Alligator mississippiensis: one gene and its partners. The protein of the gene in region 1 interacts with the protein of each later gene in a pairwise test. Links are inferred from orthologs where the notes say so. Each region holds a gene or a part of one and is shown on either strand. Other genes may lie near its edges.

Region 1 (6,969 bases):
TCGCCGGCAGAGGTGGCCGAGGTAGGAAATCCCCTTGCCCACAAATCCTCCATTTTCTGGGGTGCTGGCTGCCAACCCAGACTGGGCATGACTCAGCACCCTCCACCCTAAAAGATGGGGGGGGGGGGGTGGACGGGTATGTCTCTGCTGTGACCCCTCCAAGCCATGGGGGGAGAGGGCAGGACCATCACCCAGGTCTCCCCAAGCAGGATAGGCCCTAAATCTACACCTCAGGGTGCCCGGAGCTGGGGTTTCTTGCAGCAGCTTTCTGGAACATGTCCTGCTGTAAGATTTTTTTTTCTGGGGGGCATGTCCAGGGCCCTTGTTAGTATCACTTGGATGCTGCCCCCCTCCCCAGTGTTTTGGGGGTTCAAGGGCAGACTTGGGGGGGGGGGGGGGGTCCAGGGTCCTTGTTATGTTCAGACCTGCTGACCTGCTTCCCCTGATTTTGGGAGTTCAGGGGGTGGGTCCGGCTGTGGGTGCCTGGCTGTGGGGGGTGGAGAGAGTTTCACTGACTTCCCCCCCCTCCCCCAGCACTTTGGGGGTTCAGGGTCTGGCAGGAGGCGGGGTCTGGCCATTGGGGGTATCGGGGACTCTGGTCAATCTGAGATCCACTGACTTTGCTCCTCCCTCAGCACTTTGGGGGTTCAGGGTGGGGGGGCATGTCTGCAGCCCTAGTTGGTTTCAGACCCAGTCCCCCCCACCCCCCTAGCATGTTGAGGATTTAGGACCTGGCCAGGGGGGAGCTCTGTGTGTCCTCAGCCCTAGTCAGTCTGGGATCCTGCCCCAACACAATGCTTTGCGGGGGTCAAGGTTGGGGGTGGGGTGGGAACTGGATCCAGACTTGGGGGTATGTCTGCAGCTCTGGTCAGTTTCAGACCCACTGGATCCCCGCCCCCCGCCCACCCCCCAGGGTTCAGGGTCTGGCTGGAGCATAGGTCTGTCTCAGGCCTGGTCAGTCTCTACCCCTCTCCCTTGGCCTTTTGGGGGTTCAAGATCCAGCCATAGGCTTCAGATCCAGACCCCACCCCCACCATGGCACTTCAGGGGTTCAGGATCCAGCCGTGGAAGCGTCTATCCAGGGTCTTGCTCAGTCTCAGACCCACTGACTCCACTCCCCCCCCCCCCTGTACTTTGGAGGTTCAGGATCTGGCCTGGGGAGGGCGGGGCATGCTCAGGGTTAGAGCAGCCTCAGACCCACTGATCCCTTTCCCCAGCACTTGGGGAAGATCTGTGTTCCCGGAGCCCCAGTCGGTTTCAGGCCCTGGTCCCTCCTCCTTCCCCTCTCCAGCACACGGCTCGGGTGATCACGTCAGAGTCGCCGCCGTTCCGGTCCCAGACCAACAGCCTGTATGCACCGCTGGCCACACTGAAGCACGCAGACACTAGCGGGCACTTGCCCCTTGCTGCCTTCCAGCGCCTCATCTTCCAGCATGACCGGCTCTTCAAGGCCAGCCTCAGCCTGCTCAAGCTGCTGCAGTGGCGCAAGCGCCGGGACATGGACCACACCAAGACCCCTTGAGCCCCAGCCTTCCCCCCCCCCCCATACAGCCACCTCCCCTCTAGCATCCTCAGGAGGGCGTGAGGTGCCGGCTTTTTTGTGGGGCGGGAATGGGGCAAGGGTGGGGAGTAGGGATCTGGGTGGGGCTGTGAATTGCCCCTGGGGGCTGACCCCACTCAGGGGAGGTTCAATTTGTACTGTGGATTAAAGCAGCAGGGAGACCTGCATGGTGAAAGGCAGAGGAGAGGCGTCCTCTTGGGCTACAGATGGTGGAACTCGGGTGTCCGGGCTCCCAGCCCCCCCCATGACACCCCAGACCGCACTCCCAGAGTTGGGTGAGAACCTAGGCATCCAGGCCCCCAGCCCATCCCTGCTCTGACTCCCCAGACCTCACCCCCCTCCCAGGGCTGAGAGAGAACCCAGGTGTCTGGTTCCTAGGCCCCTGCTCTAACCACCCCCCGCCCCAACTCCCCGGAGCCAGGGGCAGAACCCAGGCATCTACCCCCACTCCTAGAGCTGGCGAGAGAATCCCAGCTGCCCCTCACAACTTGTTCCAACCCTGGTACAGAGCAGGACCTGCTAGAAGATGCTGGTAAGAGAGCCCAGCAACTACCATATTTCTTGGCATAGCAATGCCCAACCTGTGGCCCATATGGGGGGTACCTTAGGAACATTAAGGTTATCCAGGAAGCAGGTTTGAGGAGGCATTGCTGTCCCCAGGTTCACTCCCTCCTGCCCTGGGAGGGGAAACTGAGGCACACACAGAGTGGCAAAATGACCTGACTAGACCTATGCAACAATGAGACTTGCATCCCCAGCTGGCACCTGCAGCCCTATCTCATCCTCCCTCTATGCTCTGGGAGGGGCTGGAGCTGATCTGAGGTCAACTTGAGGGAGTACCCCAGCCTCTACAACCCCCCCCCCCCCCCCCCCCAACTGGGCTGTTTGAGTTTGCAAAGCTAAGCAGGGTCTGGTTGGGTTAGAGCAGGGATGGGAGACCCAACTGAGAGTTAAGTGGCCTTGGTTGAAGTTAGCTCTTGGGGAAGGTAACTTTTATGTTTCTATGAAGCATTTTGGGGCCAGAATGCACGTTTTGGGGGGGGTGGGGGCAGAGGTCAATCTTGGAATTGAAATGCGACTGCTTCTGGGGTGGAACCACAGGGACAGGAGGCTTGGGGTCCAGATGTCTGGGTTTTTCTGTTTATACATCTTTAGTTAGTCTATAAGGTGCATCTCTCACCTGCCTTTGACCTACACAGCCAAGTACCCGCAGCTCCACCAATCCCTGCACTCAGCCCTGCCCTTCCACCAATCAGTGTGGAGCCCTGTGTGTGAGCCTGCCCCTGAAAGGTAGCCAATAGGAGCACAGTAGGGCAGGTGTCAATGGGGGCTGTAGGGGTTCATGTCAGCATGGAAGGCTGAAGCTAGACATGATTTTTCCTGTGAAACTTTGGGGCAGGAACTACATTTCCCAGCATGCTGTGTGCCATGGGCTTAGGTGGGAACTACAGCTCCCAGCATGCTCTGGGGCCCTTGGGTGCAGCCACTTCTGGGGGGAGGGGCAAGGAGGCTGCGCAGCCATTGGTGGACACAGAATCCCTGACCTAGTTAAAGTGGGGCCTGGGGCCAGGACTTGGGGTTTCTGCTCTGGGAGGGGCAGGTCTGGGCTGGGAGTGCGGGTGCCTGGGGTCTCTCTGCTTGGGGCAGCGAGGGGCTGGAGCCTGGACTCCTGGTTTTTGCTCTGTTTGCGGGAGGGGCTGGGACCTCCGCTGCCTGGGTTGTCTTCTCTGCTGCTGGGGGGAAGGGTGCTCAGACACCATTTCCATTTGGGGCAGCGGGGCAAGAGGCTGCGAGCCTGGATGCCTGGGTTTTAGTTTCCGTTGGGGGAGGCTGGGAGTCCAGATGCCTGAGTTCTGCTCCTATCGGGCCTCTCTGGCGCCAGGCGCACAAACCTCTCAGGCACACAGACCTCAGCGAAGAACATGCTGCTCTTGGCAGGGGGGAGATCTCGGCTGCCAGAGGCCTCAGGAGACCTGGAGGTGAATAATTCACTACAGCAGCGTGCAAATAGGGAGCTCTGCTGACCGTCCAGACTTGGCGCTTCTCCCTTCCACCCCCTCCCTGGAGCTGCCTTGCCAGGGCCCCTTCAGCCTGAAGGTTGAGTCATCGGCAAGGACACATCACCCTCCATCCTACGCCAAAGTCTGTGGCCAAGTGCCTTTCCCTCAGTATCTCATTCCAGCTTATTCAGCCTGGCCTGAAAAAAAACAAAAAACCAGCTGCTGCAAATCAGAATGCTCATTATACATGAGAAATATGGGAAGAACAGTTTCAGCCCCTTGGTAATACTTTTGGTGTGAGATTTCCCCTGGGTGCCCAGCTGCTGGGTATCAGAGTGCTCATTTATATGCAAGAAATATGGTAAGAGCTGTTTCGGCCACTTACTGGGCACCCTGGAAAAACTATGGAGCAGATCCTCAAGGAATCCATTTCTAAGCACTTGGAGGAGATGAAGGTGATTAGGAACAGTCAGCAGGGATTCACCAACAGCAAGTCATGCCTGACCAAACTGATTGCCTTTTGTGATGAGGTGGATGCGGGGAGACCAGTGGATGTGGTATACTTTGACTTTAGCAAGGCTTTTGATACAGTCTCTCACAACGTTCTCGCAGGCAAGCTAAGGAAGTGCGGGCTGGATGAATGGACTGTAAGGTGGATAGAAAACTGGCTCAAACATTTGGCTCAGAGGGTAGTAATCAGTGGCTCGATTTGTAGTTGGCAGCTGTTATCAAGTGGCATGCCCCAGGGGTTGGTCCTGGGGCCAATTTTGTTCGGTGTCTTCATCAACGACTTGGAAGATGGTGTAGAGTGCACTCTCAGCAAGATGGCAGATGACACCAAGCTGGGGGGAGTTGTAGATATGCTGAAGGCTAGGGCTAGGATTCAGAGTGACCTAGACAAATTGGAGGATTGAGCCAAAAGAAATCTCATGTCAACAAGGACAAGTGCAAAATCCTGCCCTGGGATGGAACAATCCCATGCACCGGGACAGGCTGGGGGCTGACTGGCCTGGCAGCAGCTCTGCAGAAAAGGACCTGGAGGTTATAGTGGACAATAATTTGAATATGAACCAACAGTGTGTCCTAGTTGCCAAGAAGGCTAACAGCATCCTGGGCTGCACTAGTAGGTGTGTTTCCAGCTGATCAAAGGAAGTGATTATTCCCCTCAATTCAGCACTGGTGAGGCCACATCTGGAGTACTGTGTTCAGTTTTGGGCCCCCAGCTACAGAAAGGATGTGGGGAAATTGGAGAGAGTCCAGTGGAGAGAAAAGAAAATGGTGAGGGGGCTGGGGGACTTATGAGGAAAGACTGAGGGAACTGGGTTTATTTAGTCTTCAGAAGAGAAGACTGAAAGGGGATTTGATAGAAGCCTTCAGCTACCTGAAGGGTGGCTCCAAAGAGGATGGAGCTGGACTCTTAGTGGTAGTGGATGACAGAACAGGGAGCAATAGTTCAAAGTTGCAGCAAGGGAAGTTTAGGTTAGATATTAATAAAAATTTTATCACTAGGGGAGGTAGTAAACCACTGGAACAGGTTACCCGGAGAGGTGGTGGAATCTTCATCCTTGGAGGTTTTCAAGACCCGGCTAGATAAAGCCCTGGCTGGGATGATCTAGTTGAGGATGTTCCTGGTCTGAGCAGGGGTTTGGACAAGGTGATCTCCTGAGGTCCCTTCCAACTCTAATTTTCTATGATCTCAGAGCCAATTTCCGTAGTGATCCCTTTGGTATGAGATTTATTGGGCAGTCTTCATTCTTCAGATCAGCCCAGAGATCAACAGGTAAATCCTGAGATCATCAGGAAAGCAGGGCTGGAAGGGGCCCCACAAGGTCTCATTTAGCTCAACCCCCTGCTCCAGGCAGGATCTCCCTTAGCTAAACTAGCCCAGACGTCAGGGTAGACATGCACCTTCTAGACTTATGAAATCAGCTTGCTTCACCAGATGCATCCTAAATCATCCAACCTGCATCCCAGTGTCCATCCAACCTGCTCTTGGACACAGCCAGGGATGGAGACTCCACCACATGTCTGGGCAGCCTGCTCCAATGCCAGACCACCATGAGTGCCTGATGCCTCTTGAGTCAGGGGGGAACATGCCCCCCTCCTCTGACACCAGTCAGTGACAGGGGTAGGAGGTGGGGGAGGGGTCCATCTCTTAGTTATGAGATTAAAACCACTCCACCCTGTTCTAGGTTTGATGAAGCCTTTGCTATAGAAGAATTTCTCTGGGATTTTTCTATAGTCAGGAAAGGATTGGAAACAAAGAGTTGGTATCTTCTGAGGTAGTCTGGGATCTAACATAGTGGTGGATAGGTTAGGGTGCAGAAAGCAGATCAGTCAATGGTAGAGGGAGCACAGGTCAGATAGCAGAAAGCAGAGCAGCCAATGGAGCAGGGAGTATAGGGAGGGAACAGAAAGCAGAGTAGCTGATGGAACAGGAAGTTCTGGGCAGGGAGCAGAAAGGAGAGCAACAGGTGGGGCAGGGAGCAGAAAGTAGAGCAACTGATGGGGCCAGGAGCCCAGGGTAGGGAGCAGAAAGGAAATTAGCCAATGGGGTAGGGAACAGGAAACAGGGCTGCTGGTTGGGCATGGGAAGGGATCAGAGTAGTGCTCAGGGAAGGGCCTGGCATTACTCTGTGGCTCCCTGCCAAAGAGGTCACCCCCCCACCAAGTTAGTCTATACAGTGCCATCCCTACCCCTGCCTGTTGCCTGACCCCAGGCTATGATACATGTTGCAGTGTCACGATTCTCCTCCAAGGGGCACTGGACCAGCACAGAAGAGCCTCTCCCAGTCAATGCAACCAGGTCATTCCTAACTGTATCCCATGCTTGGGGCAGAGGTGGGGATTAGCACCCCAAACTCTCTCTCCTTTTTGGGCTGCTGGAGCAATGGTGGGGAAGAAGTGAAGATGCCTGGCAGTGAGACAGAGGAGCTATAAATACTTGAGCAGGAAGGCGAGGACTTTGAGCTGAAGGACAAGGGGTGGCGGGAGCCAAGAATAGATTTAGGCCTGGAAATGAGGAAGGTGTTGAATCAGGGGTGGCAAACAATCTCCTTGGAAAAACAGAAGGGCAAAGAAAAAATACCCTTCTTTTAAATAGTTTATAAGCTGGAGCTGGCTCTGACCGGGATTAGCCAGCAGCCAGGACCCCAGAGCTCCCTGTTCCCAGTACGTTAAAACGAAAGCCTTTTTAAAAAGCATGAGACTGGTGTTAAGGTATCACAAGGTCTGGCCAGTGAATGCAGCTTTTGAATCTGCTGGGGGTGGGGAGGGGGTTGGATGTACCTCAGCTCATTGAGCTGGGAACTCAGTTTCTATATTTACTAGCCTACAATGTACCCAGGAATCATCTCCCATCCCCCATCAGGGTACATGTCTGAAGTGGAGAAGCTGGTATTTCTACCC
Region 2 (6,966 bases), on another chromosome or scaffold:
CAGGGCCATAGCTGTGCCTGGCCTCCTTTTAGCCACAGTGTTGTAGGGGCCAGGAGTTAAGGCACCCCACCCCACCTTTCACCAGGGTGGTAATTGGCCTGGTATTTCCAGGGGACTCCAACACCACTAGGAGCCCCAGCAGGCTACCCATCCCCAGCAGGGTACAGCTTTTAGGTCATGCCCAGGACCAGGAGCCTCAAAACCAACCCCTTAAGCTCCTGCCCTTACCTCCAAGATATTACATACAGCCTTATAGCCAGCCAATATTTCTACCTAACTTACCAGTAGTGAACAGCTCTGTTTATATAGGTGGCCAGAGATCTAAAATGGCTGCTGCAATCAAGCACCTGCTGGCTGCTTGTCTCAGCACTTAAAGTGGCAGGCACCAACAGTGCCCTGCCACAGACTTTTAGATGTGAAATAATGCAATTAGCATCTGCCCTACACAGTTTTCTCTTCTACCTTCCCTATTTCCATTAAAAGTGTGTTTTTTACAGTGCTTTCTTGTGACGTGCATTTTAGTGAGTCAAAGGAGTGTGTCTTCCACTTGCATCCTGGACCTTTATGTATATCGGTCCCACACTTTAAAGAAGAGAACTTGAATTTGAGTTGATATTTAGTGAGGAGCTAATGCAGTGAACAGAGGACTGGTTTAATTTATGACACATGTACAGGGCAGCCAATGGTACGAGCACAAGCCTTCCTAGAAGTAGGGTCGGAAGGGACCTTGTAGATCTTCAAGTCCGACCCCCTGCCTGGGCAGGAGGAAAACTGGGCTCAAATGACCCCAGCCAGGTAGGCATTGAGCCGCTTCTTAAAGACCCCCAGGATAGGAGCCAGCACCACTTCCCTTGGAAGTTGGTTCCAGATCCTAGCCGCCCTAACTGTGAAGTAGTTCTTACAGATGTCTAATCTAAACCTACTCTCCAACAACTTGTGGCCGTTATTCCTTGTTATCCTGGGCGGTGCTAGGGGAAACAAGGTCTCCCCCAAACCCTTCTGGTCCCCCCTAGTGAGTTTATAGACGGTCACAAGGTCCCCCCTCAGCCTTCTCTTGTGAAGGCTGAACAGGTTCAGGTCCTGTAGCCTTGAGGGGATACAGATCCCTTCTGAACCCTGATGAAATATATGCCCCTGAATTACCTATTCTCTAGATTTTAGCCAAGTGAAAAATGAAGAGAGAGCAGCAAAACGTGGGGGCAGAGGAAGTTTGTTTATGACACAGACATCCCACACATGCCATCAACCAGCAAACATTTTTTATGCCTTGTACTATTCCATCCTAGCAATTGTTCACTGCATGCTAAACCATTATCTAAGAATGTGTTGCCACCTTGCAACTCTGTACCAATGTGGTTATCATGCACAGGGTTTTGTTCTTTCTTTGCATAGCATTGGATTAAAACATTTTCACCCCTTTTACCCTGGGTTGACATAAACTGCTTGACTAACTGCATGTTCTAGATTGCATCAACATATGACATCTGTGCTCCACGTGGCTACCATGTGCAGGGTCTTACATTCTCTTCAGTCTCTACAAAGCCATGTAAAGCTATGATTCTTAACTTTCATTAATAAAGTGTTAATTCTCTCCCTAACTCTCCACCTTCTGTGCACTTTCTCCCAGTGGTGAACTCCCTTAGCTTTTAAGTACTTAAGAGTTTTATCCTTTTAATCAGAACATTTTCTGATGCAGATACATAGCAATTTTTATGTAAGTTTTTGTCTTAATGTGCCTTGATGTTAACAAAACTATTTTTACCAAACTGGTGATTATGTCAGTTACCATGCAGGGGCAGAAAATCTCACTGAGTTTTAGAAGCCACTGGTTGGTTAGTCCTCTGCAATCCTCAGTGTGGGGCAAACTTTTTCTAGCCTTCACCATTTGGACTGGCTTTGAACACCCACCATACTTTTGTTCCTGCTTATCTAAAATGGGGCTGGGAAGGGGGATGAATTCCTATACAAAAAGTGTGGGACTCATTCCTACCAGATGTTGTGGAAGCCAAATTCAAGAAGGGATTAGAGCAGGGGCGGGCAATTATTTTGCGCGGAGGGTCGCTTACTGAGTTTTGGCAAGCCATCAAGGGCCACATGACAGGAAGCTGGGGACAGATAAATATTAATTTTCTAAAATTTTTAGGGGCCCCATGGGCCAGATAGAATGGCCTGGTGGGCCGCATCTGGCCCACAGGCAGCATTTTGCCCACCCCTAGATTAGAGTCATAAGAGAAGTAGTGCTGGAAGACACCTCCAGAGGTCACCTAATCCAGTGGTTCTCAACCTTTTTTGTACCAGGGCCCATTTGTAAACATTGATGGCCAATCCTGACCCAATAAATAGTTTGAGTAGAAAACAGTCCCCTTGCCCTGCTGGTGCCCCTCACTCCTGACCTGCTGCCTCCTGCCCCCCCAGTCTGTGGGGTAGGAGTGGGTGTGTGGAAGCAAGGGGAGCCTCAAACAGCCCCTTACAGGCTGAAACTCTGCCAACCTGCAAGGAAATACCCCCAGTTTCCCATGTTTTTCTCCTTTAAGGGAGAATCCATTTTTAAAGTTTGTCTGCGACCCTTTCCTATATTCTTGCGACCCACTTTTGGGTCACGACCTATGGGTTGAGAAACACCGTTCTAGTCCACCCCCCTGCCTGATGCAGGATCATCCCTATCCTAACCATCCCATAAAAACCCTTATTTAAACTCTACGTAAGACTGCCCTCAACCCGGACACAACACAGACCTAACACCCAAACCTACCACAGCCTCGTAAAGCAAGGGGAACCAGGGCAGCCAATGTCCTGCTTCTGTGAACTGTTACTATATGCTCAAGAAGTCCCTGGTAGAGGGCTACATCCCCCCCTCTGCCCCCACCCGAGGAAACATTGGACACAGTGTTAGAGGAAAGGGGTATCAGTAGCTATTGAGCACAGGATTTAGGGATACAGCCTCTGGATCAGAACTTCCTAGACCTTAAATGCTGGAGATTGCAAGTGTGAGGAACATTGGGAAAAGCCGTGGCCAGACCCAGTTCACTCCCCCTTTCAGCATCCTCTCTTTGCCCCTGTGTGAAGCAGGAGACCCAGCAAGATGGGCCGATGGTTTGAGGCAGTGAATGGCAGCTCTTATATTCTTAAAATCCTGTGTTGGAAAAAGGGTGGGGATGGCATCACCTCCAAAAGCCTAGCCCTGGGGACAGAGAGGTGGGGTTGCCAACTTGTTTAAATCTATTCCAGGTTTCCCGAATGCCAACAAATTTGTGAGACACAGCGCAAACGTGCCGGCGTATATCAGTTACAGATTACGATGCATAGACTTCACGCCAGGAAGGCAAATGCACATTACTATTACATTTTTAAAACCCACTGGACTACTGTATAAATTGGACTCAACGTTTAATTTATTTGAATGAATGCCCTATCATTGATCTCTCCGGTACCTCTCAGCAGTCTCCTGGAGACTGTATCTATTTCCTGGAGACTCCGGGGCAATCCTGCGGGGTTGGCAACCCTAGAGGTGCTCAGCCCTGTCAGCCTGAGGTGAGGCAGAAGGCAGGGTAGGTAGATTTGCACCGGCCAGACTCAGGACATCAGATAGAGAGAGCAGGAGCGCGGGTGAGCCCGGGTCACTTCCTCAGGCGCTTGCACAGCATCTGAGGAGATGAGCTCGTTCCCCGAGGATCCTGCTCCGCAGGTCTGCAGCGAACCGCTCTACGAGGCCCTGGGGACTGGAGGGGGAGGAGGGGACACGCGGGGCGGGGCGGGGCCGACCCCCTCGGAGGACCGGAGGTGGCTGCGGGAGCCACTCTGCCCCCTCTCCCGCAGCTCTGTGGTTAAGATGGCGGCGGGGGTTGAGGGGGCGAGCCCGTGACTCCCAGGCCGGAGCGCGGCGGGGCGGGGCTGGGGCCAGCCCTGTAGGGAGCCGCCGGGCCGGGGGTGCCGAGGCCGCCCGCCGGGCCGGGCCGGGCCGGGCCGGGCCGGGCCGGGCCGGGCCGGGCCGCGGAGGCGGCATGTGATCGGGGCGCGATGGGGCAGCAGGTGGGCCGCGTCGGGGAGCCGGGCGCCGCTCTCCAGCAGCCGCCGCCTCAGCAGCAGCAGCAGCCGCCGCCGCCGCGGGGCCTGCGGGGGAGCAGCGCGGCCAGGCCCGCTGGGCGCCGGCGGGAGGCGGCCGGGCGCGCCGCGGAGGGCGGCTTCAACATCTTCACCCAGCACGGTACGGGCCGGCCGGGGTCTTCCTAGGAGCCGGCGCGGGGGCGGGGGGCGCTGGGCCCCTCCCGCGGTGGGAGGGGGCGCGGGGCGGGCGCTGCTGGGAGGGGGCTGGGCTCCCGCGTGGGCTTCCCGGCCCTGGAGGGACGTGATAGAAGGCGGCTTTCCCTTGGGCCGCTGCCTTACCCGCGCCCGCCCACATTATGTCCCACCGTGGCTGTGACAAGTTTGGCAGCTTCTCCCCCATGTTCCCATGTCCCTTGGGGCCGAGCAGGTGTTGAGGGTGCTGGAGAGCCGGGACTGTCACTGAGCGGGGCTGCCCCTCCTCTGTCTGGGGGTACAGCACTGTCATCCTGCTTGTGGGATGGTGTTTCACTTGCTCAGTGAGGAGGGTGGCTCCTGGCAGGCAGTGGCCTAGGGGCAGCTCACGCTTCTTGGCCTGGCTTTAATAACTCGGTCCTCTGTCAACCGACTCTCATGTGTTTGAAGTCCAGCTTTGCTTGTCCCAATGTGCTTGTCTTTTCCTTCTCATTGTCAACAACCCTCTGTGGTGCTGCCTGTGAAGGGAGAAAGTCGGTGGAAAGTAGGGAGCTTCCGCAGGAGAAAGTCAGCTTAGAAAAAAAGCCTAAACAATAGATGCGACAATCTTTAATCCCACATCTTTCCTGTACACTTTTTCCTTTTTCTTTTCTTTGTGTGGCATACTTACACTGTGCTGGTATGCACTGAACCCTGGCAGGTTATCAAGAGTAGAAGTCTTATATTGGTGCACTTTGTGATGCTAAAGACCTGAATCCATTTCTGAGAACATTAATTGATTTTGTTGCAGGTGAGGAAGATAATGCTCCCATATTCATGCTGCAAAATGCTTCTGAGAGCATAGATTTTTCCAAAATCCAACAGAACAAGCAATGAGTATTAAGATCTTAAACAGCTTGCCGGTTCTTTAATGTAAATATCATCCACTGTTGCTGCTGATAATGGACAGCCATAGGAAATCAGTGCAGGTGCAGGGATTTGTGGGTATTTACAAAATGACACAGGCAGCTTCTAACACTAAATTTATTTCCTAAATAGAAAGTGTGTATTTGTGTGAGTCTAAATATCTGTTGATATGCTGCCTGTTGACTTAAGACATGGTTCTGACTTAAAATTTGCACTTCTAAATGTCTTACCTGCTATAATTGCAAGTTAATTATAAGAGCTGTAACTGTTAAGGAGCTGTTCTGATGATATTCATATACTCAGTTTTGTCCTCTCTCTTGTATAGTCAGCCAATTACTCTTGGCTTCCTAAGTCTTTCAGACAGCACCACAGGGGACAGAGATACTAATTAAAATAGGAAAATGATTGTCAAAAAGACTGCTGGTAACTTCTTAATGTCTACAAGTTTGAACTAGGGCAGGAAATGGGAAGGGTGTTCAGAGGAAGTATAGTACTGTTTTTGGAACCTTATGTAGGTTAAATGTGATGCAGTTAAGCTGGGGTTAGGTTTTCATTGCTCTTTCAACTTACTCTTTTGTGTATGTCTCTATGCTGCAAGAGTAGCCAAGAGTAGGACTTCATTGTGCTAAATCCTTTCCTTGCTTGGTCTCTCAACAGGCAAAGTAGGCAAAGGATTGAAGAAAGGGAGGATTATTAGCCAAGTTCTAGGGAACTGAGGCACAGAGAGGGGTCCTTCAGCTGTTGCTTGGCAGAGCCACAGAATTGGCCCCCCACAGTTCCTCAGCAAGAAGCAGCTCCTGCTCTCTTAGGTCTTTGTACATATCTCTCTATATAGCTGAGGACAGAGGGCGCATGGAATGAGTCCAGGTTCAGAGCAGAACTGGTCATTTGCCCAGCAGTAAGAGTATTTCCCTGTGGTATTAATGATGTAGGTTATTAAACGTTACAGAATTGTTTTGCTATGTACAGTATATTGCTTGCTTCTGCCTTTCAGCTTGTACAGTGAAAATGCCTGGAGACAGTTTTACTTTCAAGCTCTTGGTGTTTGCTTTACTTTGTTTGTGAACAGTTCAGAGGGATATATTCATTGGAATTTTCAAGGTGAATATGCATCATCCTATTTGTTGGGTTCCCTAAAAAGCCAGGTGGCTGGTTTTGTTTTTGTTTTTTTGTCTGTTTTTTTTTTAAACAACTAAACTTGCATGACATTCAGGTGCAAGCTCTGAATCCCAATGCTGCTTCAATCAATACTTTAGTCCTGCTAGTATGAGTTTCTGCACCCAGTTACATTTTACCAGAACTAATTAGTGCCTTGGAGACCACAACCAAAGCCACTAGAGAGAACTTACCATACTGCACTCTAGTCAGAGTTGAATACTTATATTAAAACAAGTCATTGCAGGCAGCAACCTAAGCCCTTTGTGTAGCCTGGGCACAGTTAGATAATCAGGAACTCATTTCCTTTTTCAGAGGGGTTTCCCTACTTTTATCTCTCTTCCACTTGCATTTGTTGCTTTCTCTTGCTCCTGTCCTTAGTCTTTCTTCCCTTTACAGTACTTTGGCTCCCTGATCATCTTCAGGAGGCACACTTCATCTGCTGAACTTCCTTCAATGCATGATCCTTATTTTCCTTGTCCCCAAACGGTTCTGGCTGCTTATTGCATTCCACTTAATTTGGTTTCCTTCCTTCTCTTTGTGACTAGCTTTGTACCTTGTTATATCCGTGTTCAGTTCCTTCTTCTGTTAGAGGGGCAGTATAGTCAGCATTATTTGCTGTGGATAAATGATAGAAGGGATAAGAACACTGGTCCATGTATTCTAGTT
Region 3 (7,795 bases), about 4.3 Mb from region 1:
CCAACTTAAAGGCATCCAGTTCTTCCAAGTGACTCTGCACCATCTCAGGATCTACATATGGAAGTCTGGCGCCTTGCTGCTGCCTCTCTACAACCCCAGTGAGAGACTTGTCGTGTCCCTCACTTAGGAACACTGAAGCAAAGAACTCGTTGAGGAGTTCAGCCTTGTCCCCCCTGTCTGTCACCAATTGTTTCTGCCCATTTATCAGGGGTCCTATTCCTCCCTGGGCCTTCCTTTTACTCCCAATATATCTAAAAAACAATTTCTTGTTGTCTTTTACTTGGGTTGCCATCCTCAGCTCCATGGTAGCTTTGGCCCGTCTAACTGCCTCCCTACAAGCACGAGCAGAGGAGGTATATTCATCTTTAGTGATCTCACCTTGCTTCCACTTTTTATGTGCTCCCCTTTTGGCCCTTAGGCTGCCCTGGATTTCTCTGGTCAGCCATGGAAGCCTCCTGGCCCCTTTCCCTCTTTTGTCTCACTCAGGGATCGTCTTGCTTTGTGCCCGAAGGATCGTTTCCTTAAGGCACAGCCACCCTTCTTGGGCTCCCATCCCTTCAAAACTCCTACTCTGCAGTGCGTCCTTGACTAATCGCCTGAGTTCATTGAGATCAGCTTTCCTAAAGTCTAGCACTTTCACCCTACTATTTACCTTACCCACTCGACGTCTTATGTTGAATTCTATTATTAGGTGATCACTGTCTCCCAAATGGCTACCGATCTGGAGGTCCCCTACCATATCATCCCCTGTTGCCAATACCAGATCCAGTATAGCATTCCCCATAGTGGGACCATGTACCTCCTGTGTCAGATGGAGGTCCTGTACACAGGTTAGAAACCTGCGTGAGCAGTGGGACTTTGCTGTCTGAGTCTCCCAGCAGATGTCCAGGTAGTTTAGGTCCCCCATGACTACCGCCTCTTTAGCTTTTATGGTCTCCGAGAGTTGCCTCAGGAGACCCGCATCTATTTCTTCTCCTTGGTGTGGGGGTCTGTAGCAGACCCCTACCACCAAAGCCCTTTCTCCTTGCCCCCCATGTAGCCTAACCCACAATCCTTCTACTTCCTCAACCTCGGATTCTGTCTTGATGAGGGTTGATGTATATTGCTCACTGACATAAAGTGCAACCCCCACCCCCCCCTTTCTTCCCCAACCTGTCCTTTCTGTACAATCTATAGCCCTCAATATGTACCGCCCAGTCATGGGATGAATCCCACCAGGTTTCTGTTAGCCCCACTAAGTCATAGGTGTTTAGTGCAAGCAGGAGCGCTAGTTCATCCTGCTTGTTCCCCATTTACTTACTTACTTGACTAAGAAGAGAGAGAAAGAGAAGAGAAAAAGATGCTGATGCTATGTGTTTTATAATGTTCTAAGATAAGGAAAAACCTTCATGCCTTGTTTTGTCTGTGTGCAGATGTTAACCTCCTCCTTTCCGCCGAACCAGAAGCTGATAACTGTTCCCAAAACATAGTGTTTTTTTCTAAATAAGTAAACTGCTTGCATGTGACAAACAAATGATCAACATCTCTCTGTTTCTCTCAAGGTTGCTTTGTCTGAATCCTGCATCTTTTCTCGCTGTCTAAAGTATAAATACGCTTGTAAATTTGTAGAGGTCAGAGCTCCTTTGAGAACTCTCCCTGTGATCACTTATATAGCTTTAAATAAACCTAGATGGCTCTGCCAATTCTAATACAACCACAACGCGAAGTTTGATTTCTTCCACAGTAGCTTCCCTTAATCAGCCAAGCAAAGGGAGCAAAAAGGCATGCCCAATCCTTCTCAAACATTTACAGTCAGGCTTGCTATGATACATAGCTTTATTGATTGGAGAGGGAGGGCACAGGGAAGGAATACAAACCAAAAGGAATTTTGAAACAAAACAGCCTTGAGCAAAACAGTATAAGGGGCTCGTTGGCCCGTTCAGTATGCGTCTAGAATGCTTAGGTCTAAGTTACTGGCTCCCGTTCAGATCAGTTACTCACAGCAACATCCAGAGGATTCTGGAGGTACACAGCTTGATTCAGCGACCAAAAGATGTCTCTATGTCCTAAGATGGAGGGACCCTATTTATAACCTTTCTGACCTCACCACCTGGACCCAACCAGGTATTTTCTGAGCATCACTGATGCTGACCAGTGAGTTTGAGTAACATCAGCCCTCACCTTGAGAAGGGACCACTATCTTAGGACTGCCCTCCCAGGTCAAAGGTGGGAAGTTTAATAATAGCCTGGCCAGGGAGAGGGAATCTCTCCCTTTCCCTAGGGCAGGGGTAGGCAACATTTTTTGTCCGGAGTGCTGAAAAACACCATAATGCCGATCTCGGAAGGTGCCAGAGTGCCGGCATGGCAGAAAAACAAAATGAGGGCACGGGGTACATGGCAGGATGCCTTGCTTGTGCCCCTTGCCCCCCACACAAAGCCCCCGGCCCCCAGCCCTGCTGCCCCTTGCCCCCCACCCAAAGCCTCTGCCCCGCAGCCCCTTGCCCCCACCCAAAGCCCCTGTCCCTCAGCCCTGCTGCCCCTTGCTCCCTACCCAAAGCCCCTGTCCCTCAGCCCTACTGCCCCTTCCCCCCAGTCCTGCTGCCCCTTGCCCCAAAGCCCCTTCCCCCCAGTCCTACCGCCTCTTGTACCCCCCCCCGCCCCCAAAGCCCCTGCCCCCAGCCTGGGCTCTCTGGCTGCCAGCAGCTACCCCGGCTCTGTGCAGCTACTGGACCCCGGGCTGCTCCCAGCAGGGCTTGCAGTATCCCAGCTACCTGCTGGGAGCAGCTCGGGATCCGGGCTGGCAACAGCTACCTGGAGTTGGGGCCGGATACAGCCGGCAGGCTCCAAACAGCTGTGCCAAGCTCATTGCCTCCATGTGGGGAACGCGGAAGAGACCGGAGCTGCTCTACCTCAGGCCCCGCCCCCACCGCCCGCTCCGAGGCGCCCCTGCACGCGCCGGTGCAGAGCTGGTGTCGGAGCTGCTCAGAGCCCGGCACAGCTGTTTGGAGCGTTCTGGCTGCAGCCGGCCCCAGCTCTGGGGAGCTGTTGCCAGCCGGGATTCCGGGCTGCTCCCAGCAGGGAGCTGGGAGGCTGCAGGTTCTGCTGGGACCAACCCAGGCTCGTCGCTGGCAGCAGCTTCCCGGAGTCGGGGCTGGCCACGGCCTGCCAAGCAAAATGGCCTTGTGTGCCACGCTCGGCACATGTGGCAGGGGTTGCTGATCCCTGCCCAAGGGATCCCCTAGGCAACCAAGTGGATAGACACATGGGCAGAAAGAGAGAGAGAGAGAAGGGGAAAACAGACGGTCCAAAAAGAGGGGGCTGGGATGGAGTTTTTGTCATATACCTGTGGTCCAGTCATAGGTGGAGTCCCACCAGGTCTCCATAATCACTATGAGATCTTATTGCTTGTTGTTGGTTAGCAGGAGGGCCAGTTCCTTCTGCTTGTTTCCCATGCTTCTGGTGTTTGCGTACAGACTCCTAAGCCTGCCATTAGAAGCCCTAGGATTCCTGGTGTTACTACTAGGATTTCTTTTTGCCAGAGCCCTCCAAGGATTACACTGCAACTTTTCCAATGTGGTATCAATTGAACTTTAATAGTAATCCCTAGACCAGGATGGTCCAACACGGCCCATGGGCCACCATGCGGCCCTGCCAAGGCATTTTCTGAGGCCCACAGTGCTGCAATGGGAAACGAAAGTAAACACTGTTTACTTTTTTCCTGCTCCTTGTCCCTCCCCTGTCACCTCAGCAGCTTCCTAATGGCTGCTGAAGGGCTAGGGAAGGGACAAGGTTCCCACATGCACCGTGTCAGCTTGACATTGCTGACGCGGTGCATGTGGGAAGAGGAGTAGCCATGTGCCTTTCAGGACAGGATGAGCCCAGCCGGAGCAGCAGGGGCTCAGCTGCACTTTCCCCCTTCCTGCGCCAGTCAGTCCCGAGTGGCACATGGCTCCACTGCTGCCTCTGCTGGCTGGTGCTGACCCGGGTGGGTCTGTCCCATCCAGAGCAGCATGCGGCTGAAGCCAGATTCCCCCGTGCTGCTGGGGACGGGAGAAGGCCGGCCAGGTCAGCTCCAGCCAGCAGAAGCTCCAGCAAAGCCGTGTGCCGCTTGGGACTGACTGGCGCAGGCAGGGGGAAAATGCAGCTGAGCCCCTGCTGCTCTGGCTGGGCTCGTCCCGTCCCAAGCGGCACATGGCTCTGCTGCTGCTTCTGCTGGCTGGTGCCAACCTGGCCGGCCTCCTCCCGTCCCCAGCAGCACATGGGAAGCCAGCATGGGGGGCCTCGGCAGGCAGGGTCGTGGCGTGACCTCTGCGGGGCGAGGTGGTGGGAGCCAGTGTTTGCCGAACCCCGCGCTCCAGGCTTGCAGCACTGAGACCACTGAGGCTGCAGGCGGCCAGGCACCATGGTGAGCAGGGCCGCACGGGCAGGCGGGTAAGGGGCTGCGGTGCAGCGGCCATCTCGCTCCAGCCCCCCTCAGGCAGCGCCGGCTCGTGGGGCTGCGCTGCTCGGGGGATGGAGATGTGGAGCTATTTATTTCTCCCCTTCTGTCTTTGGGGCAGTAGCTGGCTGGATGCAGAATGGGTCCCTCCTGCCCCTGCCCACCAGCAGCTACCATGAACCTTGCCATAACAGGCAGGTGCAGTAGGGCTACACAGGCAGGGTCTCTTTGGCCCAGGACAGAGGGTGTTTGAATATGGCTTGCCGGCCCACTGGGTGATAAAAAGTTCATGATCCGGCCCCACATTCAAAAAGGTTGGACACCCCTGCCCTAGACAATATTACAGGTTTTCTCCCCATAATACAACCTGGCAAGTGGCTCCTTAGATGCTACAGCAGTGACCCTCAGGGGTACCAGGACTCAGGTCCTCCACTGGGTGTGTGGGCTCTTAGTTTCTGGTTGCTTCTGCCTCCCCAGAGATACAACACAAAACATACATATTCCTTTGTTTGTTCATTACTTTTTAATTGTTTCATTCCAAATAGTCCAATCCCCTGGCTCTGTGCCAAGCACTTTTTACGTGATTCACCAATCCCCTGGCACTGTGTCAGATATATTCCTTATAGGGAAACTCTTGTGTCTTGCTCACCTAGTGCCCAAGCACAGCACTCGCCTCTCCCAATGCCACAGAAGGCGTTGTGTTCAATTTTGCTGCTTAGCTCTGGGAAGGCCTGGACTATGGCTAAAAAGCCTTAACATAACTCAGTTTGCCTGTGACACCTGGTGAGCTGTGGAATAACCTATCCATTGGCCGGTGTCGGAGAATGCTTCCTATTGTACCCTGGGATTCTGGCTTCAAGATTGTAATTTCTCAGACTTGTACTAATAGTTGATAGCCCATCTCCCGGCCATCTCAGTTTAAAGCCCTATCCAGAAGGTATGCCATTCTAACCAAGAAAAGCTTCTTCCTCTTTGGTGTGAGGTGGATGCCATCTGTTCCCAACAGGCAGTCCCTGATGTGTGTGCCGTGGTTGAAGAAATTGAAGCCCTCGCAGTAGCACCAGAGCCGGAGTCCTCTGTTCATTTATTCTATGCATGTCACTTCCCCCTGCGCTGCCTGGTGGTTTCAGAGCTTCCTGCGGAAGTTCCCTGGGGTGCGGCCAGGCCCAGAGGGACCCGAAGACCAGCTAGGGCCAAGGCTAGAGCCACAATGAGCCGTGGGGGCCGTATCGGGGCCCCAGGACCCCAGGACCATGTCCCCTCCTGTCTCCTCCAGCCCCATGAGAACCAGCAGGTGTTCGAGCTCCTGGGTCGCAAATGCCTGGTGAGGCCTGGGGGGTCTGTGGGTTAGAAGTGAGAGGCACCATGGAAGGGGCGGGGGGCTGTGGGTTGGGAGTGAGAGGCACCACAGGGCTGAGGGTTGGGAGTGACGGACACAACTGGGCGGGGTACAAGTCAGGAGTGAGGGGCATGAGGGGATGGGCTGCGGGTAGGGAGTAAGGAGTGCCATTGTGGGGGCTGAGGGTCAGGAGTGAGAGGCACCACTATGGAGTTACTGGGTACCACTATGGGGGCTGCAGGTCAGTAGTGAGGGACACTGTTGGGGCTGGGAGGGTGCGGGTCAGGGGTGAAGGGCACCACAGGATTGGGGCTGGCTGCAGGTCTAATGCTCACCCCCTGTGGCCTCCCCCACCCTCAGACCCTGGCTACGTCGGTGGCTCAGCTCTTCCTGGCGCTGCCACCTGGGGCCCGGGGCTGGGCCAAGCAGGGCTGTGGTGTCGTTTGCTTCGTCAAGGACAACCCGCGGCGCTCCTATTTCATCCGCCTCTATGACCTGCAGGTTACTGTGGGACCCCATCTCTGGGACATCCTCCCCAGCCCCCACCTTCCCTGACCCCAACCCTGACCCCTTATATTGACAGGGTACCCAGGAATCTGGGACCCCAAACCCCCACCCCCCGACCTCAACCCTGACCCTCTAGTCTAGATGTAAAACCCAAGCGTCCAGGACCCAGACCCCCACTTGCCCAAGCCCCTAGTATGGGTAGAGAACCCAGTTATCTGGCCCCCTAGACTCCTCCCTCCAGTCCTTAGGGTGGGAAGAGAACCCAGGCATCTGGGATCCGGATCAGCCACAACCTCTAGCACAGGCCAAGAACTCAGGTGTCTGGGCCTATAGCCCCAGTCCCTAACCCCTAGGAAACACAGGGAACCCAAGCATCTGGAACTCCAGCCCCTCACCACTTCAATCTTTAGCATGGGCTGAGAACCTAGACATCCAGGAGCCTGGGACTGCCTCCCCCTGCCCTCCCTGACCTCAAACCTTGACCCCTAGGATAGGCAAGGAACTCAGTCTTCTGGGTCTCCCCCCAACCACCCTTTGAAACAGACAGGGAGCCCAGACATCCAGGCTCCCAGCCTCCCCACCCCTCCCCACAACCACAACGCAAGCCAGGGAACCCAAGTATCCAGACTAAGTCCATCCGTCTGTCTATCCACGTAGGGGTCACAGCTGCTGTGGGAGCAGGAGCTCTATGCCCAGATGACCTACATTGCTGCCACTGCATTCTTCCACACCTTCCCGGCTGACGTGAGCATCTCTGGATGCCTGGGTCCCCACCTGGATGCCTGGGTCACATCCCAGTTCTGGAGGGGGGCAGGATGGAGCTGGGAGCCCAGATGCCTGAGTTCTTATCCCAGTTCTAGGAGGGGGCAGGTCTTGGAGGGATTGGATCTTGAACACGTGGGTTCTCAGGAAAGGGTTGGGGGGGAGCAGAGGCTGGGAGCCTGGACACCTGACTTCCCAATCCGTTCTAGGAGGAGGAGTGGGTCTGGGGGGTAGGCTGGAGCTGAAGCCTGAATGCCTGGGTCCTCTGCTGGCTAAGGGTGGGGGTTGGAGTGTGGTATTGCACTCTTCCCCACACGGATGCCCTGGTGCTGGGCAGAATGGGACCAGCCGGGGGGCCAGGACCATGTCATTCCCCCCATGCACTGCCCCTGCCCCCCAGGAGTGCCAGGCTGGGCTGAACTTTGCTCATGAGGGTGAAGCTGATGTCTTCCGGGCCCTGGTGGATGAGAAGATGAAGAAGCGTCAGCAGCGGCTTGGTACGTATCCCCTAACCCCTGTGAGTCTCACCCCAGATCTAGACCCGGACCCTGGCCCTGACCTGCCAGGATCAGGCCCAGAATCAGGCCCAGGATGGGGCCCCGCACCCTCACTACTGTCTCCTCCTTGCAGACAAGCGGCAGCTCCCAGCTTTGCCCCCCGCCATAGCCGAAGGTGAGTCCCCCAGCATCCCACAGCGTGGGGGGTTGGGGTCCAGGTGTATATGTGGAGGGGTGGCATGAGGGTGGGAGGCTCTGGTGGGGCAGGGCATG
Region 4 (7,479 bases), on another chromosome or scaffold:
CCATGAACACCTTATGAGGCTTTCTCTTGTCTGACCAGGGAAAGCTGGGTTGAGGTGACAGCACCACTATGAAGAAGATCCATCTCTGCTACTAGAGCTTACTCATACACCTCTTACAATCTTGTATTCCATGAATTGGTAAAAGAACTGGTAGCATGAAGAAACTTTTATTTTAAACTAAAATGTTTACCTTATTTTCTGTTTGTATACAGTTCTGCAGTACTTTTTATATTTCACTTGTTCCTGCTCATTAATGTTGCATTAACACACAGGTCTTTATCTATTAAACAAAAACAAACTTTTTTTCAGAAACTTTTGTGACCTAAGGGTGGCTTTCTTTAGCTCTCCAGGAGACAGAAACAAGACACTGAGAAAACTTTATGTTATGGCTCTATTACTGACAATCCTTTCCTTATAAATTTATTCCAAGGAGGAGACATTCCTAATTTAAAGGAATAATTTTGCCTTCAGTATGTTTTGTCTGCTAGCTTGAGCAATTGCGTAGATTAAGATAAAACTAGTTGTGCATAGCTGACTGATTTGACTGAAGTTTTAGCTTTGTACATCAGTGCTAGAACAAAGTTTTTAGATCAGTGTAGCACAAAGAAATGTCCTTTTTACCTATTATTTGTCATAAAGATTCCATCAGCAAACCATCTAGTAGTACATTTATACATTTTAATTCTGTGCAATGATTCACAACTACATGATGCTGAAATTGCCTAACATGAAAATTACAGATTTATGCTGGGCTAGAACTTTTTTAATGTTTTGGGGATAATTCAGGTACTTGTTTCTGAAAAGCACTAAATTGAGGTATCTGTTTTGGTTAGACTAAAAGCTGTTTTATGGTATTTTTTCCCCCCATTTAATTCAGGCAGATAATCAGGTGATTGTGAATTTGCCAGACACTGTGTTGTAAAGCACAGTAATCATATTTGCACTGTTATACACTGGAGGAATTTTACAGAGAAACTTACAAATATTCAGCCTCATAACATCTACAGGTAAATAAATGTAACCTTCGTTCATTTCTATTAATTGTTATAAAGTAAAAGAACTCCTCTGGAACTTTGAGTCTGGCAAACTGTCCTCTTTAGCTTAATAATGAAACACATATCTTCACTGAGTTTTTGAGAAATAATTTCTGATTAAAGCAGATTTTTTTTGCTTTCTTGTTCAGTATGTTTTCTATACATTTGGTATTTTTCTTTTCCATCACTCTCCAAACAAAGATTCTGCATACAGCTGTCCCTCGCTGTATGCAGATTCTGTACGTGCGAATTTGCTTTTCTGCGATGACCCTTTTTATACCAAAAATTAGTTATATGAGAGGTAAATTCACTCTTATCCAATCGGTGTGGTGGAAACCCACAGTCAGCTGCTTTGTGCAGTGCATTGTGGAAGTGATGCGCACCAATACAGTCTCCTGTTTGGATCTGTGCTCCTCTCTCGTCTGCAACATGTGTTTCTGTAGTTGCCGTCCCCATTATGATAGTGCCCTGTGCTTGTGTGTACTGCCCGCTGTTGGTGAGTACCAAAACTGTCTTGTAAAAGTGGTAGAAATGGGTCTGGGGATCAGTACAGTTGAGGTCTTGGAACGTAGCCCTATTTGTTACGTTGTAAAGTGGGTTCCCTTTATGAAAATTTGAGTTACGTGCTGTTTTCTGAACGCGTGTACAGCACAAAGGGAGGGAAACCTGTAATTCACAGTGAGATCAGTCTGTTCTGTTAGGGGAAGATCACAATCTAAATAATGAATTAACAGCTTGGAATTAGTAGCATATGCACATTTCAAACAGCAGATTCCTATTAGATACCAACCATCAGTTCTACATTATGAACAGTGAAATGTTAATGTCAAATCTGAAATACACAGAGTTTTTAAACAAATCAGAACACAACCATTCTTAAAGAATCACTGCAATTAAGTTATAAGATAGTGGACTGCTTAACAAGAGGGAGCAGGGGTTCAATCAGAGGAATTACAGAGAACAGGAAAACAAAATTAAAATGAGACCTGGAGATTCCAGTTTATAGGACTATGATATATAGCTAGTTGACCCTGCTTTTTCCAGCATTTGAACCTAGGTTGTATATTTTTATTTAATGTATAGGTCAGGTACCAGGTACCCAACGTTAAAAGACTCGCATTGTTTTCAATAGAGTAAATAGAAAAGGTACATATCCATGTTCAGCTTATGAGATATAAGATGAGAACAGCTCCAGTGGTACGGATACAGGAATTTAAAATTTTGTAATAATCTGAAGATTCCTGGAAGAGTATTTTTCTCCACCACCCACTCATTCTATGTACAACACAGCATCTTCATTTTCTTTTGATCTGTAAATCATACCAACTTAGGAAAAAATATCATATTCATTATTTTATTCTAAAATCCTGTGTAGTACAAAAGTAACTACACCAGGATATAAACATGCATTAGTTGTTGTCAGTCTGGTTTCTTTTCACATCCTTGAAGGGGTTTTCAGTCAGTTGCTATTCCTCTAAGGTTCCACTCCAGAAACATTGTTAGGTTGCTGGCAGTGCACATTTCAGAAATATAAGAAAATACTTTTAGTGTAAGGAGAGAAAAAGAGAGGACATGCAATATCTAGTTACAAAGTGCTCTGAAATGGAATTGGAAAGGCGGCAGGAGGAAATACTGTGGTCAAGAACCATTGCTGGGACTCAGGTTGTCTGGGTTCAGTTTCTGGCTTTGTCACAGCCTCACTGTGTTATTTTGAGCTAACGATGTAATCATTCTGTGCCTGAGTGTCCAGCCTTTTCCTCATATTTAGCTTCTCTTTATTCCTGCCATTAACTTGCCAATACTTATATACATTGGGAAAGGTTTGTACTCTTATCACAGCTTTAAGTACAGTAACTGGCATCTTCATGGCTGGGCATGCACCTTAATCTTGGCTGGGCATGCAAATGATACTGTAATACCAATAATAATAAAACAGACAAAAATAAGTAGAAGAATAAGTAGAAGAAACACAAGAAAGTAATGCTTTCCCTGCTTTTTCATGGTTTATTTTTCTGATCAGAATTCCAGTAATTCCAAATGAACACAAACAACCAATGGATTATAAAACAGCCAGTGTATTTTATTTCTCTGGATGTTGGCTGTTGTGTTGCTGGACCTCATCACAAAGCCTTGTATCAGATTCATATACCTTCCTAATAGCTCCACTTAAGTTCACATAGCACATTTCATCACAAAGGGCTTCCCAGACTTGGGACAGCAGGCTGGCGGTGGGAGCTACATGTGCAAATTAAGGGCCATTAGCTGGCTGTGTAGGCTTTGTGTCACTTCCCCTGTTCTTGAAATAGTCACATGAGGTGTCTATATGGCAACCATTTGGCATCAGCACAGCTGTGATATACACGTCTTTAAGTGGGTGATTAAATGTATTGAAATTACAGAGAAATATGGATAGGGCAAATATACAGTAGTAACTAGAAACTGTTTAGGAAAGTCTACCTGATCCCAAAGGACTCTTTCCTGACTGTTCAGAGTCTGGGCCTCAAAATTACTTAGCATCACCTGGCATCTTCAGCGACCTGTCCAACTTATCGCTCTGCTGCTCTTGGGGCTGACTCACGGGGCGGTGAATCACCGCTTCCCCACTGAATCACCAGCCCATATCCTGCAGCACCCCGGCTTACTCTGGCCGTAAGGAGAATAATCACATCGCTGTGCTGGATATTCAGATACTTTTGTGCATGTGTTAGACATGTCATTAGATGAATCGCAACATGTTCAAACTAACTGTGACTGTTAACTTATGTGTAGCAAAATTATTGGAAAGCAAAGCTTTTTTTTTAAATCTAAAAATATCAGCCTGAATTTTGTATCCTAAGTCTGTTTTCACATTTTCAATCGTTAAAAATTAACCGGCAAAGAAAAAACTCCTTTCCTTTTGCCTTAAAAGCAGGAGGGGAAGAAGAGCGTACACCCTTCATCCTCTTTACGACAGGTAAGGGAGGCAGCGGAGAGTTGCGTATGAAAGGTTTCACTTCACTGGCACTGCACATTGCTCCTGCCTAGCTGCTCCCTCCTTCCTGCAGATTTCTCTTGTCCTTGCCCCCTACATTTCTTTCCCCTCAGGACCCCTCAGATACACGTCGCCATCAGGGCATCGCTGTCCTCAGGCCCGTGGCCCGGGTTATCTGGGCTCCGGGTGTCGTGAGGAAGGGGCACTTCTAACAACGAGGCAGAGCTGATTTGCTCCTTGTATTGCACACGCAGGAGCTGGGGGCGGCGCTGTCGCGCGTGAGAGGCTGCAGCGGTTGTGCGCGGCCGCGCGTCTGCCCTCGCCACAGCACCGCCAACCGCCACAGGGGGCGCGCGGGGTGCGGGGAGGCAACGGCCCGCCGGGGGGCGGGGCTCGTGGCCCTCTTGGGGCCCCGCGAGGCCCCGCCCCTCCCCCGTCACGTGACGGGGGAAGCGGTGACTCCGCCTGCCCTGGTCCTGACTCCGCGGGGCGGGTGCGGCAGCCGGAGCCGCAGCTGCCTTCGCGCTGGAGCGGGACCCGGACCGGGACGCCGACCCCCGCGGGTGAGGCGGCTGCTCCGTGGGAGGCGGGAGAGACAGACCCACGCACCTGCTCGCGCACTGCAGCCCCGCCCCGCCCCGCGCTGCGCGGCTCTTGCCGCCCCGGCCCGAGGCCGCTCCGGGCGCTTTGGCACGGCCGAGACGGGCTCGGGGGCGATGGGGTTGTGTCGCGGGGGCGGGGCCGAGGGCCCTGCCTGCCCGCCCGCACGCGTGCCGTTCGTGCCGTGCCGGGCCGGGCCGGGGCCCGGGGCGCTGCTCCGTCGGGCGCGCAGGTGCGAGGAGCCTGTTGCTGCTCGGGCCCTTCCTGCGCCTCGCGCCGGCACGTGTGAAGGGGGGCTCGGCGGCCGCTGCGCTCGTCTGCACCGCGGTGTTTCCCGCGGGGGACGCGGCTGAGACCAAGGCGGTGATGGGAGGTGTCTCCGGCCGAACCGGAAGTGGTGGCCTGCTGGGGAAATCCACCAAAGGCCCCAGTCCATCTCTCTGGTGGCACTGGTTACCGTCGGGTCGGCTTTTGACCCTCGGCTTGTGTTGGAGCACCTGTTTCAAGAAATGTGCTTGCACCGGATCTGCCGCAAGTGCGGGGAGGGCGCGAGAGGAGGGGTAGGGGTGGGAGAGGGATCCCACATCTAATCTGGCCCTAGTGTGGTTTCAGTGGCTTCCTGTGTTTGCGCCTCAACTTCATCAATCTGTTTGTTGTTGGATTAATGAATGTGTCAGTGAAATGCCTGCTGGAGCGGTGATACAAGAAGCGCACTGTGCGAGTTGTGCATGAATGCATATGACTGTCGGAGCGGATGGAGTAACTGTCTGTATTTTGTTTGCAGCTTAGCCCCTTGATTGCATTCTAAATTTTAAAATTTCACAGTAGTGTTCCCTCAAACATGCCCTCCAACTACGAGTGAACACTGGAAAGAGGTTTTATGGTTCTGTGAGTGATTTGGAGGAAAGGAATTCAGTCGCTAGATTGCAATCTCCTCTTGGGGACGGACAGAGTCAACAGCTATGATTGCTTCTCACATTGCTGTCGCTCGCTCGCTCGCCGGCAGTTCTCTGTGTTGAGAAGCTGGGGGATGTGGGAAATGTGGGAACGGGGCTGACCAGAGTGCTAATTTTATTCATTTGAAATTTGGAGAGGCCTGAGCAAGTCTGCGTGTTTCTTTTCTTTCTTCTCTTTTAAAATAAATTTCATTAAACTCACGTACTTCTATGTGTAGTTACTCTTATTCAGTTTTGAGTGCCTTATTTTGTTTTAGGTTAACTTGGTTGCACGTGATTAAACTACACTGAAACAGTGCTACTCTTAAACAGTGTAAAGTGCCTGGATACAAAGAATCATCTTTTTAAAGCAACCTAGTTAAACCAGTGCAAGCTGAGATGAGACTCTAGATTGTTTGTTTTATGAATGATCCTCTTCTGACCTACTGAGAGCTGAGAACGAGGGAAGTGTCAAAACAAAGGTATTGTTTCATTAAACCTGCTGAAATCTTTTCAAGAGTGGTATTAGACTTTGGACCTGAGGCTGCTGAAAAAGAAGCAGGAGAGGGCTTTCTTTACTTCTACTAAGGTAGAATACCTACTCAGTAGTGCTTCCCTGTAAAACTTAATGTTAAGTTATGGTCTCTTAAAAGAAATGTTTCCCTTGTTGGTTTGTAACCTAAAAATTCTGCATGTAAGCTTTAAATGTTCTGTATTACTTTGTTTATGTGTGATACACATTTACCTGTATTCAGAGACAACCATAGTGAGGCCTGGGGGAAATCAGCCTGTGCAGGGCCTGGACACGGGGGTGGCAGCGAGTGGCTGGACGTGAAGCTGGCCCAGCTCCGCATGGTCCCTCAAAGCGTGGGGGCCAGGGCAGTTGCCCCGATTCAGCCCCGCTTCCCCCCAAGATGGCTCTGCCTGTATTTCCCTTTTATGCTAGTATGAATTTATGCCTTGCAGATTGTCTAGTTGTTCCCTTGGTCAGGTAAAGCTGGAAAGCCAGAGAGCAACTAAAATAAAGTTAACCACATCTCAGAGGTTGGCATCTGTTAAAAATGTACATCGGGACTGGGCTCAGATTGTTAGTAGTGAGTTTTTCTCTTGTCTTTTTGTGATCGTGATTGGATCCGTTCTTTATTAATAAGCTCTTCATGAGATCTTCATATTTTAAAGCCTACAGTTACTTAACTGAGGTAATCATTCCATGTCATTTTTTCATGTGAGATTATTGAAGTACTTACTTCAGTGGGTATTTTTGCTTTATATTTGACATGCTAGGTGAAATTGTGACACAGCAAGGTTGCTAGAATAATTCTGAAGTATCACTTGGGCCAGTGTCAGAAACTGGAATAAAACCCAGCATTTCTGCCTCCATTCATCTCTCTTCTCTTCTAACGTGGTGGCACACGTGCTAAGGGACAGTTTGTAGCCTAGAGTTTGCAAGTTCAAGGCCATAGCATAAGCACTCACAGAGAAGCCCTGTCAAATTCCAGCAAATCTGCAAATTCTGTTAAATGCCTTGTTACACAAAGACATCAAAAAGGAAAGGACCTGCACTAAATTGTATCTTAGAGGTTTGACTAGGCCTCTTATACTTTGCTATTTTGAAATATTAAAAGATGGGGACTGAGATCTGTGGAAGTACTAAATCATTTATTATAATTTTTTACTAAGATAAAACACCTTGAGTGTTGCAGCTGTACTATATGCAGTCTATCTAGTATGGCAAAGTAAAAATTTGTTGCATTTTGGAAAGGCGTGATTAAGGTACATTGGCTATGAAATTACTTGATGTTGAACATATTGCCTTGTACTGTGGGTGGGAAATGATAAACTCTAAGAGTCCCTATTAATCTCTTAAAGCATCTTGTTTGATCCTGATATGATCTGTTCATGAAAATACATTAGTGGCCCAGTCTGTCATGGGACTCAT

The links.
Region 2: the proteins of TRIP10 (region 1) and ABL2 interact in binary tests that used the Homo sapiens proteins (3 or more experiments, as listed by UniProt). The link is inferred for Alligator mississippiensis from reciprocal best matches to the Homo sapiens genes TRIP10 and ABL2.
Region 3: the proteins of TRIP10 (region 1) and WAS interact in a two-hybrid assay, tested with the Homo sapiens proteins (2 studies listed by BioGRID). The link is inferred for Alligator mississippiensis from reciprocal best matches to the Homo sapiens genes TRIP10 and WAS.
Region 4: the proteins of TRIP10 (region 1) and ARHGAP12 interact in binary tests that used the Homo sapiens proteins (3 or more experiments, as listed by UniProt). The two-hybrid records come from large-scale screens. The link is inferred for Alligator mississippiensis from reciprocal best matches to the Homo sapiens genes TRIP10 and ARHGAP12.

Annotation. Positions count from the first base shown.
Region 1 is NC_081831.1:24,056,065-24,063,033, forward strand, and holds the start of TRIP10 (cdc42-interacting protein 4), read left to right. Parts: upstream 1-3,950; 5' UTR 3,951-3,965; coding exon 3,966-4,016; intron 4,017-6,969. Other genes in the region: retinol dehydrogenase 8, read left to right, coding at 1-21, 1,292-1,522. UniProt on the Homo sapiens protein: Required for translocation of GLUT4 to the plasma membrane in response to insulin signaling. Required to coordinate membrane tubulation with reorganization of the actin cytoskeleton during endocytosis.
Region 2 is NC_081828.1:51,224,600-51,231,565, reverse strand, and holds the start of ABL2 (tyrosine-protein kinase ABL2), read left to right. Parts: upstream 1-3,946; 5' UTR 3,947-4,017; coding exon 4,018-4,204; intron 4,205-6,966. UniProt on the Homo sapiens protein: Non-receptor tyrosine-protein kinase that plays an ABL1-overlapping role in key processes linked to cell growth and survival such as cytoskeleton remodeling in response to extracellular stimuli, cell motility and adhesion and receptor endocytosis.
Region 3 is NC_081831.1:28,376,217-28,384,011, reverse strand, and holds the start of WAS (actin nucleation-promoting factor WAS), read left to right. Parts: upstream 1-4,775; 5' UTR 4,776-5,627; coding exon 5,628-5,741; intron 5,742-6,116; coding exon 6,117-6,257; intron 6,258-6,920; coding exon 6,921-7,007; intron 7,008-7,425; coding exon 7,426-7,522; intron 7,523-7,655; coding exon 7,656-7,697; intron 7,698-7,795. UniProt on the Homo sapiens protein: Effector protein for Rho-type GTPases that regulates actin filament reorganization via its interaction with the Arp2/3 complex. Important for efficient actin polymerization. Possible regulator of lymphocyte and platelet function.
Region 4 is NC_081828.1:192,837,477-192,844,955, reverse strand, and holds the start of ARHGAP12 (rho GTPase-activating protein 12), read left to right. Parts: upstream 1-4,459; 5' UTR 4,460-4,568; intron 4,569-4,858; exon of another isoform or gene 4,859-5,140; intron 5,141-5,185; exon of another isoform or gene 5,186-6,022; intron 6,023-7,479. UniProt on the Homo sapiens protein: GTPase activator for the Rho-type GTPases by converting them to an inactive GDP-bound state.